Linked DNA regions of Xenopus tropicalis. The protein of the gene in region 1 purifies or fractionates together with the protein of each later gene. This does not show direct contact. Links are inferred from orthologs where the notes say so. Each region holds a gene or a part of one and is shown on either strand. Other genes may lie near its edges.

The links. Proteins that work in one complex are often made in the same cells at the same time.
Region 2: the proteins of sem1 (region 1) and rad23b purify together in Homo sapiens (co-immunoprecipitation; 3 studies listed by BioGRID and IntAct, with this or other methods). This does not show direct contact. The link is inferred for Xenopus tropicalis from reciprocal best matches to the Homo sapiens genes SEM1 and RAD23B.

What each region holds. Positions count from the first base shown.
Region 1 is NC_030682.2:33,752,689-33,756,441, forward strand, and holds the start of sem1 (26S proteasome complex subunit SEM1), read right to left. Parts: upstream 2,662-3,753; 5' UTR 2,659-2,661; coding exon 2,580-2,658; intron 1,112-2,579; coding exon 1,018-1,111; intron 1-1,017. UniProt on the Homo sapiens protein: Component of the 26S proteasome, a multiprotein complex involved in the ATP-dependent degradation of ubiquitinated proteins.
Region 2 is NC_030677.2:120,684,329-120,688,081, forward strand, and holds the start of rad23b (UV excision repair protein RAD23 homolog B), read left to right. Parts: upstream 1-1,585; 5' UTR 1,586-1,858; coding exon 1,859-1,924; intron 1,925-3,753. UniProt on the Homo sapiens protein: Multiubiquitin chain receptor involved in modulation of proteasomal degradation. Binds to polyubiquitin chains.

The DNA of each region.
Region 1 (3,753 bases):
TGTGCACTGTGTCAGACAGTTCCAGGGTAGGGATAACAGAATCCAAGATGGGGAGCACCTGTGACAACTGTAATGACCTATATCATTACTACTATAGAGATGCTGAAATTTTAATCCAGTCCAGTCATTTATAATATAAACTATGGCATTTCTAGCCGTATTCATTTTTAGGGTTTAGTGCTCCTTTAAGGAGAAATTCAGAATTGTTTTTTTTCTAGTTTAAATGAATTTGCTGCAGGTCTCCACGTACTATTTCTGAGCACATGGACCTGCATCTCCCCCAACTTAATGGGGCAGAAGGGGCAATGAATATGTGCCTCTTGCACCCTAACTGGCACAAAATTGACATGCAGACAGGCTCTCAGCAAACAGCCCCCTACAGTGCCAGCCCTCTGGAGCCTGGGAATTATTCCTGTGTATACACAAACAAACAGACAAGTCTGACTTTTAGAAATGAAATTGGATAGCAAGTCCCTCCACCCAGCTAGCTCATTTTGAATATTATACAAAGAATATCCATAAGAACCTATTTGCTTAAAGGAGAAAGAAAGGTAAAAACTAAGTAAGCTTTATCAGAAAGGTCTATGTAACTACAGCCATAAGCACTCACAGAAACGCTGCACTGACTTCTGTCAAAAGATTTCTTGTGTCTGTAATTCATGTGCTAGAGACACGCAGCTCTCTCCTGCTCCCCCTCCCTCAAGAATGCTAAAAACACACTCCCCCCTTAGGAATGTGGATCTGAGCCAATCAGCAGGAAGCTGACTCATAGTCTAACTAACTGAGCATGTTCACTTGGTCTGGGTGTCGGTGCAGGAGTGAGGCATTATGGGAACTTTCTTTACACAGCTCGGCATTTTTTCTTCCTGTTTGGCTTCTGATCATCTGAACGGGAGAAATATGGGGAGACTTAAGGGCACTATTGAGAGAACTGAAGGTATGCCTGCAGCTTGAGATTAACTCTATATTAGCCTTCCCTTCTCCATTAACATTGCTGTATATATTACTAGCCATTACCTTAACTGATTTGAAAAATCATCTTCTACATTGTCATCATCCCAGTTATCCTCCCAGACATGTGTATCTTCATCTTCATCTAATCCCGTCCAGTCTACGAGGCAAAAGAAACATTAAATTTAAACTGAAAGTTATAAAAATCCTGTGTATGTAAGATGTTTTGTTAAAAGCCACTCTCTTTCAGTGCAAGTATCCAGAGTGCTACACTATGGGCATGAGAGTACATCAGTTATATTTGTTACTTTTACTCCTAGAATTAGGATAAGTGTAACTACACAGACCTCCACCAACCAATATAACAATATGCACAAGTTCTGTTCCCCCAACCTTTTTCACTTTTTAAACCACATAAGCATGAAAAAATTTCCCCACATGGCCTGCTAGCAGCAGGAGGCTCTGCTTTGAGTAAAACTGTCTCTGTGCTTTCAAAGCTTGTCTTCAAGGCCAGAAATATAAAAAGAATCACCTACTTTGAAGACACTGGAAGCAACATCAAAAGGGGTTGGGAGCAACATGTTGCGCACAAGCCACTGGTTGGGGATCACTGGTTTAGAATCATAAATGAACCAACAACTCCCTCAGTTTTGAGCTGACACATCAGGGTACCAGGAAACCTCCCAGGTGTCAGTGGGCCCTCCTGCTTACCCAGCCATTTGGCCTGGTATGCCTATGTCATTAACCATTTCTCTATGAGAAAAAACGGTGTATGCCCAGATTTCTCCTGTACATTACAGTATGCACAGAACCCTGGAGCAGAACTCTGCAGCACAGGACACACACACACAGAACCCTGCGACTCAGGACACACACACACAGAACCCTGCGACCCAGGACACACACACACAGAACCCTGCGACTCAGGACACACACACACAACCCTGCGACTCAGGACACACACACACAGAACCCTGCGACTCAGGACACACACACACAGAACCCTGCGACTCAGGACACACACACACAGAACCCTGCGACTCAGGACACACACACACAGAACCCTGCGACTCAGGACACACACACACAGAACCCTGCGACTCAGGACACACACACACAGAACCCTGCGACTCAGGACACACACACACAGAACCCTGCGACTCAGGACACACACACACAGAACCCTGCGACTCAGGACACACACACACAACCAAGCCTGCGACTCAGGACACACACACAGAAGCCTGCGACTCAGGACACACACACAGAAGCCTGCGACTGAGGACACACACACAGAAGCCTGCGACTGAGGACACACACACAGAAGCCTGCGACTCAGGACACACACACAGAACCTTGCGACTGAGGACACACAGAGCCCAGCCGAGGAGACACACACACACAAACACACAACCCTATGGCTAAACAGACCCTGACAAACAGTGCTAACTCCACATCCCGAGAGCGGTAGGTGCGGCTGTACAAAAGGCCGGGCACCAGGCTATAATGTAGGTACCGCAGTATAGAAGCACAGAGTGAATGGCACACATGATATTGACGCTACTATACATGAGCGAACCCTGAGTCATGCCAGGCCGCTCGCACGTCCCTCTCCAGTCCGTATATACCTTCGGCGGGAAATTCTTCGAACTCATCGTCTTCTTCCAGAAGACCCAAATCAACAGGTGCCTTCTTATCAGACGACATTCTCAGAAAGCGATACAGAAATCAAAAAAATATACTTATTCCTATCAACAAATCTAACTCCGTAACAACCGGAACCGGAAGATACCGCGCGCATGCCCTCTTATGGATTCACGCATGCGCATTAGGGGGCGAAGCGTTCCACTTTGGCTGCGGTTCTGCGCATGCGTGAATTGGTTAGCATTCCTGGCCGTAATATCAGAGAGCGTTACTAATAACCTGTAAAGTGAACTTCATGTGTATCTATACATTATTATATATATATTATATTGCTAAACAAGTCACGTTTTTCTAAACGAGAGAATGTTATTGCTGTGCCGCTGTTAACGCCAGAGTTACCAAGACTGAGCGATTGTTGGAATCATGTCAACTAAACCCCAATCATTAAGTGGATCTATTTCTGGATATTTTGTATAATCTTATTCCTCTTTTCTCTGAATTAAATCATTAAGATCTCAAAAGTGGATCATTATGATAATGCAAAAACGTAAAATTTTTAAAAAACTTTGGGGCATTTCTAGAAAATCCATCCAAAAGGGCTGCACAGCAGTCAATGCAACCCTGCATCATGCATTTATTAGATGTATCCTTGAATTTTCAAATGATCTGGTACCCTTGTTTCTAATGGTCCTATTTTGTATCCCCTCTCATCAGGGCACACGCTGTAAGAGCCTGGTCACCTGCTCTCTATAATTTGCACCTTAATGTAAACAAACCTTCACCTTTGAAAAACATTGAAAATGCACCAAAATATCTTCAGAAACTGTCAGCATCCTAGCTAGCAGCCGTTGTAGGGCAATTTTGCCATGGAGGAGGGGAGTGGGGGGTGGTAGGGTCAGGATTCATGAAACCATTGGGTTGTCTGCCAAAAAACATGGAGTTAGTACATATTTATTATTTCAGTATATTTACCTGACTTTGTCAAAACCCCAGTACCCAGTTTTGAAAGTACAGTGCTTGGCTGGTGGCCATTGTGGCCTGCAGATCTACTCTCTAGTAATGAGTAAAAATGTGAGTAGTGCTGGTCTGTCATTTCCTGGCTGTGGCCTATTCATTTTGCATAGCAGTTCCACATTCACTTTATGACAGCCTTTTAAT
Region 2 (3,753 bases), on another chromosome or scaffold:
AAACTGGTACATAATTAGAACTCACTTATAACTGACTGCCTTTTCTCTATATTTGTATTTTATATGTAGGAGTTGCTATTTTGTTTTCCTTAGGTAGTACAGTATGAGGGTATAGCACATTTGCATCTGATCCCGCCATTTCAACTATATAAAAGGAGTATTTTTAGAAAAAAATGGGGTGTGTTAATTGGGGCGTGGCCACAAAAGTGGGCATGGTCAAAAAAATTTGCCGCGCTGTGCGTGCCAAATCTTTTTGCCTCTCTTTTCAGTTTTCAAATGTTGGGAGGTATGAGCCTGGCCAAAAGAAAGTCACCATACCGAAGATTGAATGAATTCCGAAAAGGTCGCAGTCTTTCCAAAAAATACGACTTTTTCGTGGAAGTTATTGAAAACCATGAAAAAGTCGTACTATTTTAACAATATTATTGTGGTCATTCTGAAAAGTTCTAAAAATTCGAAGAAATATGAATTTTTCTGAAAAAAAAATTGTGGTTTAATAAATGGTTTAATGTGCTGGTGGGGGGGCTGTTTGGGCCTCTATGTACTTGAAATGAAAGGGTCTATTTTGAATCCCAGTCCAGTCCTGGTGCTGGGTATTATGGGGTCAGCACATTACCTAAATTCCAGTATTACATGAAATAAAACTAGCATCAAGGCATGCTGTGCCGGTTCTATCATATTACAAAAATAAAAATCTAGCACATACCTTTTTATAACATCCTTATTTTGCATCTACAGGTTTAGGAAGCAGATATATCAATTTCTGGTCATGTTTCAGTATTTTACTTTTCATACTTCTCTGTTTGAGTTTGAAATGAAGAGTGGGCGTGTCCTAACGGTCCCTGCCAGAAGTACAGTAGGAGGGGGAGAGCCAATCACAGCCCTGCACTCACACAAGCACAGACAGACTTCAGTTCCCTATCAGGTCAGCCTAGTTGCTGATTGGTTCCTATCCTACAGTGCAGGGTACTGAGGGCCCCAAGGCTCATCCAGAGAATTCAGCCAGCAAGAAGTGGAACAGATGGGCGGGGTTAGTGGGAGTTTTGTGGAATTTCTCAATAAATCAGTCTGAAACACTACTTTTTTAAGCACAATCCTTCTATATCTAGAGGAGTATAATTCCCTGGTACATTCTTCATTTTTATAGGATATGTCTCCTTTAAATTTGCATTCATCTGGAGTTAAATTGAAACACAAAACCAGTTTCTGCTAATACCTCTCTCTGGAGGTAATGACATGTTCTAATTTATGATATATTCTCTTTATTAGTTACCCTTATCAATAACATTGTTTTACCCAGCCCTTGTAACACAAGTCTGGGTGTTTGCGACCTTACGGTAAGTCGCTGCTCCTTCACTGCTGATTCATGCTGTGCACACAGTGTGTGAGTGACATGACACAATTTGCCTAGTAAGCTTAGAGGCCGGAACGAGTTCTACTAATAGAAAAAATCCTGAACGCAGAACGCGCAGTGACATCACCGCACGAAGTGACAGCTCATGGCTGTCATTGAGAGCCGCACGCCCCACCCACTCGGCCGCACCGTAGCCCCGCCCCCTGGCGCAGGCGCGCAAGTTCCTAGTCTCGCGCGTCTCCAGTCAGCGGAGTCACGATGGCGGCGGACAGGCCGTACTAATGAGACAGCGAAATAAGCGCTGGACACTGTACTTCATAGCCGTACATTTAGCGATCGGCGGACTGTAGAAGAGTAACGGGGAGGAGTCTTCTTTACTTCCAACACGGATAAAGCGTCTCCGAGTCGGATATACTGCGTGTCTAGAGAGGGGAGTGCGCCTTCTATCACACTGCAGCAGGCTGAACATCAGGCCGGAGCTGGGGACAGCATACGACAGCAGCCATGCAGATCACTCTGAAGACCCTTCAGCAGCAAACATTTAAGATAGACATCGACGGAGAGGAGACGGTAAAGTCTGCAGCCTCAGGGTTCCACTAAGCATTATGGGGCCTTGCACACAGTATTTGAATGTCGCACAACAGCTGCTCATAAAACGGGGGGGTGGGGTTGTTTTTACACTGGCCAAGAGGGCTTTATCAACGTGCAGGAGCGCTAGAGAAATCTTTGTCTATTTTGGGGTATCCTGCGCGAACTAGTAGTTGGGACGTGGGTAGGGGGCGCGCTAATGTGGGAGCTTTCTCCCTAGCTCGCCTTACAGGCAGATACCGGGCACGTGACCCTGGCTGGGGAAGGGGGGGCGCCACAGTCACGTGGTGCCCGGGGCAAAGCTGCTCTCTGTTGTTTATGGGCGCTGGATGAGTTTGCATTATCGATCTGAGGGATTGCATGTCCTGCGTTCCCAGCTTCCTTTGTGGCTAGAGTAGTCATGTAGTTGGCAGGGGGTCATAAAGCAGTTTATTAATGAATGTGGTGGGAGTAGTATTAGTGCACAACTGGCATTTTATGCAGTAAATAAAGTCAGTGTTGTGCATTTTGGATATTCATATTTTTGAATATCGGCCCTGATCGATTTATAGTGTCTTGTATATAATATACATGTGTGTGTGTGTGTGTATTTATACATTTCAAGGGGATGCACAATGCATATAACATACCACACAATAATGATGTATTCCCATAATGCTGGAAACATGTTGGTAAGTATGCAGACATTAAAGAAGCAAGACATTAAGCCCCTCTCAAATATGTAGCAGGGGTACAGTCATTTTTTTGAGACATGCCAGAAATGGTTGTAACAGAACAAACCTATTTTGCAGGCTCCCTTAAACTCACTACAGACTGTACACATTTGTTGAAATTATTATTTAGGATCCCCAGAGGGTCTCTTGTCACCACCTCTTCCTTTGGAATTAAAGTGACAATGTTTAAGGGATACTGTCAGCACATAATTACCCTCTTTCATGACAATACCATTTTTAACACAAGCTTAATATCATGCACAGTGCTTTCCAAAAACATTTGCCCATCTGCAACAGGTGTTGCATGTCATTGGCCGATAAGCGCTCTTTATTTTTTGGTATAGTGGAGTAGTGGTCCTCAAACTGGGCTGGCCCTCCTTGGGGATCCCAGAGTAATGAATGTGAGGTCCTGCCTGAAGACCAGGTAATGTGGTGAGCATTAGTTTTTACTTTAATAAAGAATACAAAAGTCCAATTAAATGGTATTCGAGTAAGATTTTTGATAAGCATCCTAACTTTTGTGCCTCAAAGGCATACTTGAACCAAAGAAAGTATGAAACTAACTGCATTAGAGGTTTAGATTTTATATATTTATAGTTTATAAGTACAGTGCATCTGTGTACATTGCCTGAAACAAGCCTCCTTATCTGTTACAGTCTCTCTGTTAAATGTAATGTCATATGAATGGTTTTCTCTGTTAATCTATTGATGTACTTGCCAGGAACCAACCAGCCAACAAATTATATATGTATGTGTATATATATATATATATATATATATATATCCAAAAAAGACCAGCAACACCGAGTTATATTCCAAAAACAATCAATTGTGTATTAAAAACACATGAACAGCCAACGTTACGTTTCGGTCCCCATCGGGACCTTTCTCAAGGCCCCGATGGGGACCGAAACGTAACGTTGGCTGTTCATGTGTTTTTAATACACAATTGATTGTTTTTGGAATATAACAACTCGGTGTTGCTGGTCTTTTTTGGATATTTAAATCATTTACCTTGCACCCGAGCTAAGAGCTGAAGCAGAGTGCCACCCTGGGTTCGCTATATATATGTATATATATATATGTATATAAATTTTA